2 linked regions of the Oryzias latipes genome follow. The protein of the gene in region 2 purifies or fractionates together with the protein of the main gene of each other region. This does not show direct contact. Links are inferred from orthologs where the notes say so. Each region holds a gene or a part of one and is shown on either strand. Other genes may lie near its edges.

Region 1 (5,742 bases), on a different chromosome or scaffold from region 2:
GATGGGCGCGGGTCCAGACACATCTCACCGTTTAACACCGGAACTTTAGCGCCTGTGTCGACATTCTTTCCACTACAGCAACTTTTCTGCCGTTTACGGACGTAAACGGACAAACTCCCGGAAGCTTCTGAAGTGGAGAAAAGCAGCTGTGGACCGATATGCAACAGCAGAGAAGTGCTGCATATCTGATATGAAAAACCGCTTTTCTCCACGTCAGGGCAAACGGTCCAAAGATTACGGTATTTAGATGTCGCCGGCAACACCTCCGGAGTTAAAACTTGGTTCCGTCGTGTTTTTTGTGAGCCGGTCACATGGCTACAGCCAGAAGGGGCTAATAAAGCGACTCACTCTTTTCGTGGATGGCGACCATGGTGGGTCGATCCTCCGGGTGGATGTAGAGCAGGATTGGGGTCCCCACCAGGTCTTGGGGCAGGTAACCCAACAGCGGCACAGCTCTGAAAAATCAGATAAGTAATCGCTTAAATGACATGGAGTTTTGTCTCATTAGAATAATCTGGAATAATCTGAGTTTAACAAGTTTTTGACATTTTTCCGGTGAAAGAACACGGATGTTCAGCGATCTTTAAAAACAAGACAAACAAACACATTTGGCTGAACAGGTTGCCTCATGCCGTTTGCCAGTTCCAAACTCTCCGGATAGATTGCAACACAGCCGTAACCGTGGCAACAGAGTCAGGGTAACTGACCTCTCGTCAACTTCCTGGAAGAGGCAGCTGGGAGTGTGGCTGGTGGTGAAGATCCTTTTGTCCGGGGGGATCCGGGGGGCTGATGGGAAACGAGGCAGACATGAGCAATAGCACAGCATCCATACATGAGAGACATTCTGTTTGCACCTATTTTTTGTGTGTGTGTACTTTATTCATATTCAGAGAAACCTGCTGTTCTAGATGAACCCAGAGAGATGCAATCTGTCCAATCTCACTCCCTCTGTCGGGCACGGTTGCCACGGTAACAAGCTAATATTGTTTACCCTTTACTCGATGATTTAAATATATTAATAAATGGAAAAGTATGACCTCCTTCTGTGTTTAGGGGCACTCTGGGCCTGAGCAGCTTTTTTCTGTCATTTCTAAATTTACCCTTGAATCATTGCATCTGCCGGTGAACGCCATCGTATCCTAGCAACAAGAACTTACTCACTGTCTCTTACAACTTGCAAAACTGTTTTGGATTAAACCGACTGTTCAATCAGATATAAAAAGGGGAGAAGTGGGTTGCCCTTCTTACAAAATCTTTGTGTTAAAACTTCAGTCTGTCTAAAAGGGGGCGGGGTTTAGAGGTATTGGTTGTAGTGCCTCCTTGGGTCAAAACATCAAAGGAAAGTTTTCCAATACCTTCGTATCCTGAGTGGACTCTCTCTGCGATGAGCAGGCAGCAGGGCTGCGGCTCTGCGGCGTCCGAATCTCGGAGGGTGAGCTGGTAGGGCGTCAGGCGGAAGGAGTAGTAGCGCATTTCCCCGCCCTGTACGCGGTCGGCGCTGATCCGACAGAACATGGACTTCTCCTGAGTGCAGTCGGCGGGAGGGGAGGCTGCGGGGGGAGCGCAGACAAGTCAGTGGACGATACAGAGGGGGGAGTAGAGACGCCGCAATGCCCTCCCGACACTCACCCGAGCCGATGCAGGAAGCCCAGGGGGGCAGGCGGCAGGGCGCCGTGCTGCTGTAGAAGGTGCTGACGTCTTGGGGAGCCAGGAGCTCGGAAAAAATAGTCCCCTGCAGACACTCGGGCTTGCAGCGCAGCAGGGACGAGCCCTGCGGCGACACGTACACGACTCTCCCCGACAGGAAGGACACGGCCATGGTGAAGGTGTCCTGCAACAGGAGACGCGGGGGACGTCAGCGCCGGACGTAAAGCTGCGTTTAGGGGTGCGGCCTGCACACTCACCGTGTTTTTCAGGGTGTACTCTGAGGTGATGTTGTCGAGCTCTTCAACCGTGAAGGCAGACAAGTCCAGGCTGCAGCCATGACACTCCTCCACACTCCACTGGTGGTAGTACTCCTTATTGGCTGCAGATAAGCATGTCAGCAGATGCACGAACACCATTGGGTGAATTTTAAAAGAATAAAAAAAAAAAAAAGGGGGGGGGGGGGTACCTCGGACTTGTCGGACGCACTGGAGAGCGTATTTGAGCGCGCTCAGAGTGCTGGAGTGACCTTTGCCCTTGCGCTCGGCCGGCAGCCGGAGCTTCAGCTCCTTGATGGCCTTCATGAGCTCCTTCTGCGTCTGGAGCCTCGCCGACTGGTCGCTGCTGCAGCCGGAGGTGGAGGGGGGGTCGTGCTCAGAGCTGGTGGACAGCAGGCTGTAGGCCAGGGAGCCCCCGGGGGGGGACAGGCTCTGAGAGTTGGAGCTGAAAGGAGGAAGGACCAAACATTCTTTCAGGAGGTTGTTGCAGACAAATACCAAAGGTAAATCAGATCAGACTGGCGCTTCCTGGAAACATCTGACTATGTGCTGCAGAAGGCAGTTTCAGTTGCAGGAGATAAAGTGTTTTGATCCGAAACATCGCATTGATGCTACGCCAGCAGATTATACGATTCGCTTTGACTCAACTTCCGACTCCACAAAAGAACCCTGAGGTTTCTGCCATTCACGTTGCTTCTGGAAGTGGTTGAGCACAAACCCGTGAATCTGTTGTGGTGCGTCAATGAAAACGGTGTTTTTAATAGGCTTTTTTTTTCACAATGGAAAAAATGTATTCAGAAAAATGAAGCGGAACAGTGGTACCTAAAGCAGGCGGGAACTTCTTAAAGTTTCAAAAAGATATTTTGTGTGAGTTGACAGGAAACGGGAGGGTCATAGGTCAAGCTCCTACCTCTTGTTGCTCTCCAGCATCAAGCCGGAGTCCTTCCCGTTTGAGGAGCTGTGGGAGCTCCGTGAGGACTGGTGTCCGCAGGAGCGCGGGTGGCTCTCCCTCTCGCCGGAGTCGTTCCCGCTGGACATCCCCTCCATCTCGTCCGAGCTCGGTCCCCGCTGGTCTCCGGACCTGGACCCTCCTTCCATGGACGACACCCCGTCGTCTGCGTGTCCCCGCTCCTGTGGGGAGCCATGGGGGCCCGGCTGGTCGGCCTTCTGCCGGCTCAGGCCCTGGGGGTCTCCGTCCTGGTCTTTGAGGTGGGCACCCGACACTCTCCCCTGAGTGCTGCTGCTGGGCGTTGATGTGCAGCCATCATAACTCATACTAGTGTAGGACGAGGCTGGCGCAGCGGAACTAGATTGGCTTCTGTTCAAGTGGGACTACTATGTGAACACAAGTAAACCATAGTTGAAGCCGATTTGGGAAAATTGAAGGAAAATTAAGCAAAAAGTTGTTTTTCTTCTTGGAAAACAAAAAAAAACCTCCTTACAGGTTTTACTAAAAGAGCAAAACAAAGAAGGCAAACAGAGAATCCAGAATCCTGGACGATCCGGATCAAAAAGTGTCACTCGAGACAAATCTCTGGTTATGAAACAGCCTTGGCGTGCGCCTCAACAGATGGGACCAAGCGATGAAGAGGCAGAGTGAGAAAGGCAGCAAAACAACGTTTCTCGTGCTCCGATTCAGGGCCTCCAGAGAAGTGTTGCTCTGGGCGCCAAAGGCCACCTGAAATGAAGGAGAAAGGGAGAGAGCAGATTAGAAAAACACCTGCAGTCGCCTCCGCCGCTCAAGGACTTCAAGCCAAGAAAGGGGGAGTTGTGGGTTTCTCGCGCTGGCCTCAGTGGGAGGGGGGGACGCGGCCCTGAGATGTGCAGCGCAGCGCGGCGGCAGCTCTGGTCCTCTGCGCTGGTGATCTGAAAGTCGCCGCCTCATCTTTCAGCGCACAGGTGGGATTACAGAACACCCGAACTTGCACAGGTTGGTCGTCATAGCACAGTCCCATTTTTACCCCCGCAGACTAAATAAATGTGGACGCAACAGGAGGAGGGGGGCAAATCCGAATCACAGAGCGCTGATGCATCAGGCTTTACATGTCAAATTAACTCCATTTGTACATTTATAACCACAACCTACGCAAGTAAAAGTCTCCAGCTATTTATTGACCCGGCTGCAGTGATGGCGCTTAATCTCCTAAAGACCAACAGACGCAACCCAGAGACGACGCAGACTTCTGCTAAGTCGCAAATCCTGTCAACTTCATCCACCTGGCCACCCCAAAGGGCCCCCGCTGCCCGCCCTCTGACAGGTATGGTGGCTGAATCTGTCTCAGCTTCAAGCCCTGACGCAGCTCCCCCCCCCCAAAAGACAGATTCGGACTGGCCACCTGCGAAAGGCATGACGACCGCGGCTCATAAATAACTTCAGGAGCCGGTTTCCATGGAGCCAAGGGATCAACTGCAGGCTTTTGACTTCATTTCATGCAATCATGCAAAAAGGCCACCTGCAGCTGAAATGCTAATGAGCGTCGTGTTTGGTCAGATGGACGCTGCACCCTTGCACACATACAAAAAAAACCCTGATGGAAGGGGGCATGGCGTTCATGTGCACTTGCGTGGTTAATGACAGTGGGCGCAAAGCGAGGAGATGAGCTCAAAACCTCCAGACTTGACCACTCCGGTCAGGTTTTGATCCATTGTTAAAGTGTTGTCAATGATGTTTTTAGCCTAAATCACTCATTTTCTAAGACCTAGTTTCTGCAGAGCGGCAGTAGTTCCTCAGAAATTTGCCTTTGAGTTGTGGGCGGGACTGCAGCAGGGAGCTTGAGCGTATTTGCTGCGTCACAAATCTGATGTTTTTCAAACGGCATTTTGTCGTCTGCTCCTGACTCACAATGATTTGAATCGAGAAACATTCAGATTTTAAGCTCAACTTTCTGTACGTCCTCCATCATCAAAAAAATGCCCAACTAAACATGCCAAAACCCCGTTTTCCATCAGAGTGGGACCTTAAGGTTTCTCCATCACCACGGCCTTGAACCAGGAGAGGACAGCCGATACTCAAAAAAACCACCAGAAACAGCAAAACCACCCTGCGTGTTTCCCTCCCAAGCCCTCAGATTAGGGGAAAGCGTTCGCCGCCGGTTATGCAATTTGGTTTCTCTGTCAGCGTCAGAATGAATCACCATGAGGCTGCATGCAAAAAACGCTCCACACACCCCAACACGTCTTAATCTCTCGTCCAAATCCTCATGTGTCTGCGCTCCGTCAGCCAGAAAGGTCAAAGTGTTTTGTGTACCTTGTTTTTGCACAAACAAAAAGAGAAGTTGGACCCTGACCTGTATGGGGTTATTCTGGATTAGGATGGGAATTCTAGCTTTATTGGACCTACGGAGCACGGGCCAAAAACAGAACACCAGCAGGATGGCAGCCCACCAGCTCCAACAAGAAAACAACTGCTGATGGTTTCAGAAATGATCTGCACACAAAACCAAGAACTTTTTCTAAAAACAGCAACCTTTATAAAAATAAAAATAAAAAAAGCAACTGCAGCCTTACTGAAAATCTCATTTCAGTAACCAAGATAACCAGTGTCATCCACTTGATGACATCAAGGCGAATGATGACCAAAAACAAGAAAGAGTGGTTTGAAACGGAAACAAAAAAACAAACAGACTTTCTGAGAATCAGCTTCTGTGCTGCTGAAGGAAACATTCGTGGGTGGAGGGTGGGCGGCTGGATGGATGGTTCCACTTACAAGAATAAATAACACAGTTATTAGTATGCCATCTTTAAAAAGTTGAATCTTGAGATTCTGGATTGCTGGATAAAACGAGAGCTTCACAGAACTGATGGAGATCGAGCTTCAGCC
Region 2 (5,734 bases):
ATATTGTTCCTTTTTAGACGATACAGATTAAAGCAATCTCCTTCTTATCTTTGACTTCTCTATTTTGTTTATTTGTGACAAACCGTGACGTCCTTCTTTTTCCAAAACGCATCGTGATAAAGACCTTGAATTTAAAAAGAGACATTTCTTCACTGTGACGACAGAAACGGTCAACGTCCACAGAAGACGTTCTTGATTAGATCAAGACCAAAACCTGGAGCTGCAGACGATGACATGTGACCGACGGGAACGTATGCAGTAAACATGGGGGGAACGTGAGGCACACAGGAGACCCCCCCCCTGCTCCGGATGCCATTATTGAAAAGGTGAAAGGGCACGCTAAACAAGGTCTTCAGAGACCCTCCCCCAAATTGCAAAAGAAAAGTGACCACCGTGAGGAAGCACAGCACTCGTCGTCACGGTGACGTCAGTTTGACCACAGAAACAGCCGTAAACCGTCATCAGTGATGGTGATCGGTGAGTCAGTGCGTGTGACGAGCCCGCTGGCCGTTAGCGCTCTGCCTCGCCGTTAAACAAACCCCTCCCTGCAGAACATTCTCATGTTACCAGCATACCACAGAGACGGTATCTGTCGGACAGGCTCCCTCCTGTCAGACGGGTTACAGGCTCCGGCTGCAGGTTGACGTTACAAAACACACGTTTACAGTTGGTTCAGAAAGACTCCATTGTTCAAGCATTTCATTTCTCAAACCAGATTACATAAGTCGGCTTCTCTGACACACTAGTTCTGATCTAATTTCACTTGGAGACCAAAACTCAAAGTCTGAAAAGATACAAGGCAATAACTACATGTACTCTATCATATTATTCTATAAAGCACGATAGCAGAGTGACTTCTATTGAGCTGTTTTAGTCTGGCATGAACGTCGTGTTGAGACAACCACTCCTCCAAAACAAACTAATGTTCTTACAGTGCCGTCCTGCCTCTTTTCTGATCTTATGGATTTACATTGATAGATTTGATCCAGATATTCAGCTGAAGGTAGGACAAGGATATCTGGAGGACAAGCCGTACACGGGACACCCTAGATGTACCCAGTGTAAATATAACAGAAGGAATATTTTGATTGATGGCAGAGAAATGGTCTAATGGGGTGTAGTATGAGGACATAACAGCCCCTCCCTCAGTACACAGTGCATACTTGTATGTGAAGCACTTTAAAATATTCTAGTTATTAAAAAAATGTGATCCAAAGCTGGTAATCAGTTGTTCAGTGTGAAGCGTCGTTATGCAGTAAACATGTCAACAGGTAAAACCATTAAAGTAGCTGGGAATTCAAAGAGACACCAGCTTTATAACTAATAATCAGTCACCACAGACCAAAAGCTATCCAACTACAACTCACCAGAAAAATGCATGCATAGTTAAGAACTTCACTTCCCAGCATGCCCTGCTGCTGTCACAAAAGGCAGAATCAGGCTGTTGGTTCTAGTTCAAATCTAGAGCTTTATGAAAGAATGAAGATTATAGAGATGCATTTTTAAACGTTTTTAAACCCGGAGGTCAGGTTAGTCATCTCTCTGGGGGCAGAAGACAAAAACCATAAAGTGGTTATGCAAGCAGCTGGCTCCACGCCATCAGGCCCGGCGGTCACGTGGAAGGAGGGCTGGATACAATTATTTACTCTCCTGGGTCCTGTTTCTGCCTGCAGAGCCCTGTCCTCTTCCAACGTTAAGGTGTGTTTTCAGTGGATTAACCTCAAGCAGAGCCCGCCTTCACAGGCTGATGGCAGCCTGGTGTATTTAATGGAGTTTGTAGTTAAACCATGATATCCACACGTGTTATTACACTTTAATGATAGTCATCAGTTTGAGCTCATCAAGTGAGGTGTGTAACGTTTGAAAGAATCCGTCAAAACTCTGCTGTGTTCACACCTGAACTGGGCTGAAAGCTAACAGCCCATTACTATAGCTCCATAACACAACAGAAGAGCAGCAAAGCCAGTGGGGGTTTTCTATAGAACCACCCACACTAGATCTTCAGCAGCATGTTCCTGATACAAAAGGCAACATTGCCCTCAGAACAGAAGTACAACTAAGGTAGAAGTGTGCTGATTGGCTGCTGATCATCATCACCGCAGAAATAAAAACAAGACATGTCAGCTTCTTCCTGCAGATAATCCGCTGTGGCTCTTTGTTTACTGCCTGTTCCTCTTTGCAGATTTGTTGTCTGGTACTATGAAGGGGAAATCATAAACGCTGAACATTACTAATGTCTGCAAATCAAAAGGGCCACACATAAAGGCTCAAACGGATAAACTTCTTACTGAGAAGGTTTCTGGAATGACCTCCACATGTCTACGGTGGAGTCAACAGTCACAACAACATTTTTACCTCCATGGAGGCTTTTCCTTGACCTCACTGTGAAATGTTCTGGAGTCACTAAAAAGCAGGAACCAGACGTAAACGGAAGGAGCTTTGAAATGCCAACGTATGAAAGTCACGGTCATGTGCTGCTTCTCCAACACCCATCTGATTTTATTTGGATACAGTCAAATGTGTGGAGGAGAATAACTGACAGTCAGATACGTCCACATTATATCGTAATGTCTTTTCTGAGTGGAGATCTTCAGCTGTGAAAATGGTCTCGATCCAAAACTCAGGATTGTTTTTTTATTTACACAGTTTTATTGTTAAGAGCTGAATGTCAGACTCCAGCTATGCTGTTGCTGCTGAATACAAGTACAACTAGAAACATAATCCAATCCCAGACTGTAACCATTAGCAAACAATACGATGTCATAGATGGGATCAGGAAACAGACAGACAGCTGGATGTAAAGAAACCTTTGCCTGGTGGACGTTGGGCCTTCCTGATTATATCTGGACAGACAGACAGGACGCTTCCTTATAGAGTAAATGTGTTTCAGGTAAATCCACAACAGAAACACAAGAACACATGCATAAATGAACGGAAGTGTTTCGTTTAAGGACATGATGAAGCCTCGGTTTCTGAGTCCTTCAGAAACACACAGACAGACAGACAGACGGACAGACGGACAGACGGACAGACAGGGCCTCGTCCCAGAACTGCGTCCTTATAACCGGTCCAGTTCCACCATCGGTACGCTAAGCCGTCACAAAACGTCAAAGACCAAATCTTCAGAGTTTAACAGGAAGAATTCTGAACATCTCGGACTAAATGCTGCTTCAGACAACAGCCGAGTCTGCTAGCCTCTTAGCTAATGCTGCTAACAGCTGATCGTCGCTGAGCCGTTCAGGACACCCCGGAAAGAAGTCAGACCAGCCGCCCGACTCCCCTGATCGGCAGGTAGGGACCAGACCACGGCGTTTCCGTCACAACATACCCAGGTAGATGTCTCCAAACGAGCCGCTTCCAATTTTTCTGCCCAGTCTGTATCGGTTTCCAACTCTTAACTCCATGGTGAAGGTTCTGTGGTCAACCAGCTCTCTCTGAAAACGTTCAGACCTAAAGCACTTGGCAGTAAATCAAATAAAAAACAAAGAAAAGCGGGAACGAGCAGCGGCGGCGGGTTTCTGCCCAAAATCCGTTCCCCGGTGAGCAGTATGTATCCGGATGAAGACGGCTTCCAACAACAATCTTTCGCCTTCGCTTTTAAAATGTTACAAACGTCATATCGTGACAATACAGCGCTTTCTAGAAAGCTTAAAGTGTCCACGTTATGCTCGTGATGTCTTTTAGGTCGATAAAAGCTAAATTTCCGAGGATGACAACGGATTTTGGACAGAGTCTGGCGTCGCTGTGGGTCTCCCGCGTCCTGTGGCGCTGCTGTGAGCAGAACTCAGCAATCTGCTCCGCTCTGACGTCACTTCCGGTCCAGAGGAGCGGGGGGGGGGGGGCAGTTTGAAAGGTGTCGAGTTCCAAGCAGACAGCAGCAAAACAGCGGTTTGAATATAAGACACTGAAATAATTATAGAGATGACAAAATATGATTTTAATGCAACAATTGATACACAGATTATACAGATTAAAGTATTCTGTAATCACACTTTGAAATTAAAACAGGAACTATTTTTGTTACATTGATAAATAAATATTTTGATCTGAAAATGCATTTGAATTTTTTTTTTACTGCTTCTTCTTTTTCATTCTGCTGCTGCCTTTAGGGGGCGCCAAAGAAAATCATCGGACTCCGTCCAACCTTCTCTGCATCCTCCTCTCCATCCATGACCCTCCTCTTTGGTCTTCCTCTCTTTCCTGGCAGCTCCAGCCTCAGCATCCTTTCACCATCATCATCACTGTTCTTCCTCTTAAACATCTCCATCTGCTTGGATCTCCAGAACATCTGTGATCCGATCCTCTGATGGATCCATTCCTGATCCATCCTGGTCCCACAGAGAACCTCAGCATCTTCCTCTCTGCTGCCTCCAGCTCTTCCTCCTGACTCTGTGTCTGAACCGGGGGTCTCCACCGTGAGCCTCACGCGGCGCTTTTATTCCACTATTGTGGCTCTCTGACTTTGAAGAAAAATACAAACGATTTGAATAAATGTTGGCATTTATTTTAAGATTTTTTAACTGAGGTGAACTTCCATTAGCAGAATAAACTCTACTTATATTAAACCACTGCTGGGAGTTGCCATACTAAGAGGCTTGTGTGTCTAACCTCGTCTCTCAGTCTGTCCATCACCAAAGAAACAAGAAGGCGCTCAAAGCTGATCCTTGGCGTAGTCCCACCTCCATCTTCTCTTCTCTTGTCTCCCGGTTGTTCTGAAGATCTCCAACATTCTTCTCTGTCCCTGCAGACTTCTTCATCCAAACCACAGCTCTGCTCTCGTTTTCTGAAAAGACAACCAAACCACACTATTCCTACTTCAGGTTAGAAAATCTTTTTACTTTTGTTGGTTTAATGAGGCGATTGATTTTCCTAAATCCCATTGCTTTTACTGGCTGCATTTTTTATACATTTGTAATAGATTTTATTAAAATGTTCATGAATTACTTGATTAGAAATCCTATTTATTAGATGTTCTTTTTTATTTATACTGAAATTGATCACAGATTGTACTATAAGACACTCCTAGTCTTCCACACGTCACCTACAGTCAAAGAAGCTCATCCTGTCATGTTGCCTTGCATGAATGAGCTGTAGCATTTTACATCAGAATCTGGAAATGCATGTTAATAAACAGGGTTAACCTTCTACATAGTTCTTTACAATACCTTAAGCCTCAAAGGTTAATGAGTCAAGTGACCAACAAAAAAAGAAAAAAAAGTGTAAAAAGTAAATTCAGATGAGTACATAACACCTATGACTCATACTGCGTTATTAGAATTACATTAAGTTTCAGTTTAAATTGTATTTAACATGAAGCTAATTAAACTCCAATTAAAAATAAAGTTTTCTTTAAAACCCCTCCAAAACCAGACCAGCCACCTCTAATGTCAAAAATTAAAATTATACATTAAAAGGATGGTGTTAAAAAGCTCACTGTAATTGAAATGAAAGAAAAAAACGACAACAAAGAACTTAGAAACACTTTTAAAATCATGATTATGTTTTTTTTCCAGCAAAGTTTAGGATTTTTGTTTATATGCAGTTTTTTCCCCTCAAAACGGTGCGTTTTCGTTTTCACTAAATGTTCTTCACAGTAAAAGTGAACCTCTTCTTTCCTGCTTTTATTCTGAAGGAAAAACCGGAAACACGTCGAGTCTACTTCCTGTCCCGGCTTTCTTTCCGGTTTTTCTCGCTGAATGAAGAGAAATGGCAGAAACTGCGAAGGAAACCGGAA

Evidence for each region.
Region 1: the proteins of csnk1d (region 2) and per1 purify together in Homo sapiens (affinity purification with mass spectrometry; 4 studies listed by BioGRID and IntAct, counting the BioPlex papers as one, with this or other methods). This does not show direct contact. The link is inferred for Oryzias latipes from reciprocal best matches to the Homo sapiens genes CSNK1D and PER1.

The regions. Positions count from the first base shown.
Region 1 is NC_019876.2:15,134,855-15,140,596, forward strand, and holds the start of per1 (period circadian protein homolog 1), read right to left. Parts: upstream 3,198-5,742; coding exon 2,833-3,197; intron 2,368-2,832; coding exon 2,114-2,367; intron 2,027-2,113; coding exon 1,905-2,026; intron 1,832-1,904; coding exon 1,630-1,831; intron 1,551-1,629; coding exon 1,356-1,550; intron 787-1,355; coding exon 708-786; intron 456-707; coding exon 349-455; intron 1-348. UniProt on the Homo sapiens protein: Transcriptional repressor which forms a core component of the circadian clock.
Region 2 is NC_019866.2:24,955,729-24,961,462, forward strand, and holds the start of csnk1d (casein kinase I), read right to left. Parts: upstream 3,797-5,734; 5' UTR 3,405-3,796; coding exon 3,329-3,404; exon of another isoform or gene 1-3,328. Other genes in the region: engase (cytosolic endo-beta-N-acetylglucosaminidase), read left to right, coding at 5,707-5,734. UniProt on the Homo sapiens protein: Essential serine/threonine-protein kinase that regulates diverse cellular growth and survival processes including Wnt signaling, DNA repair and circadian rhythms. It can phosphorylate a large number of proteins.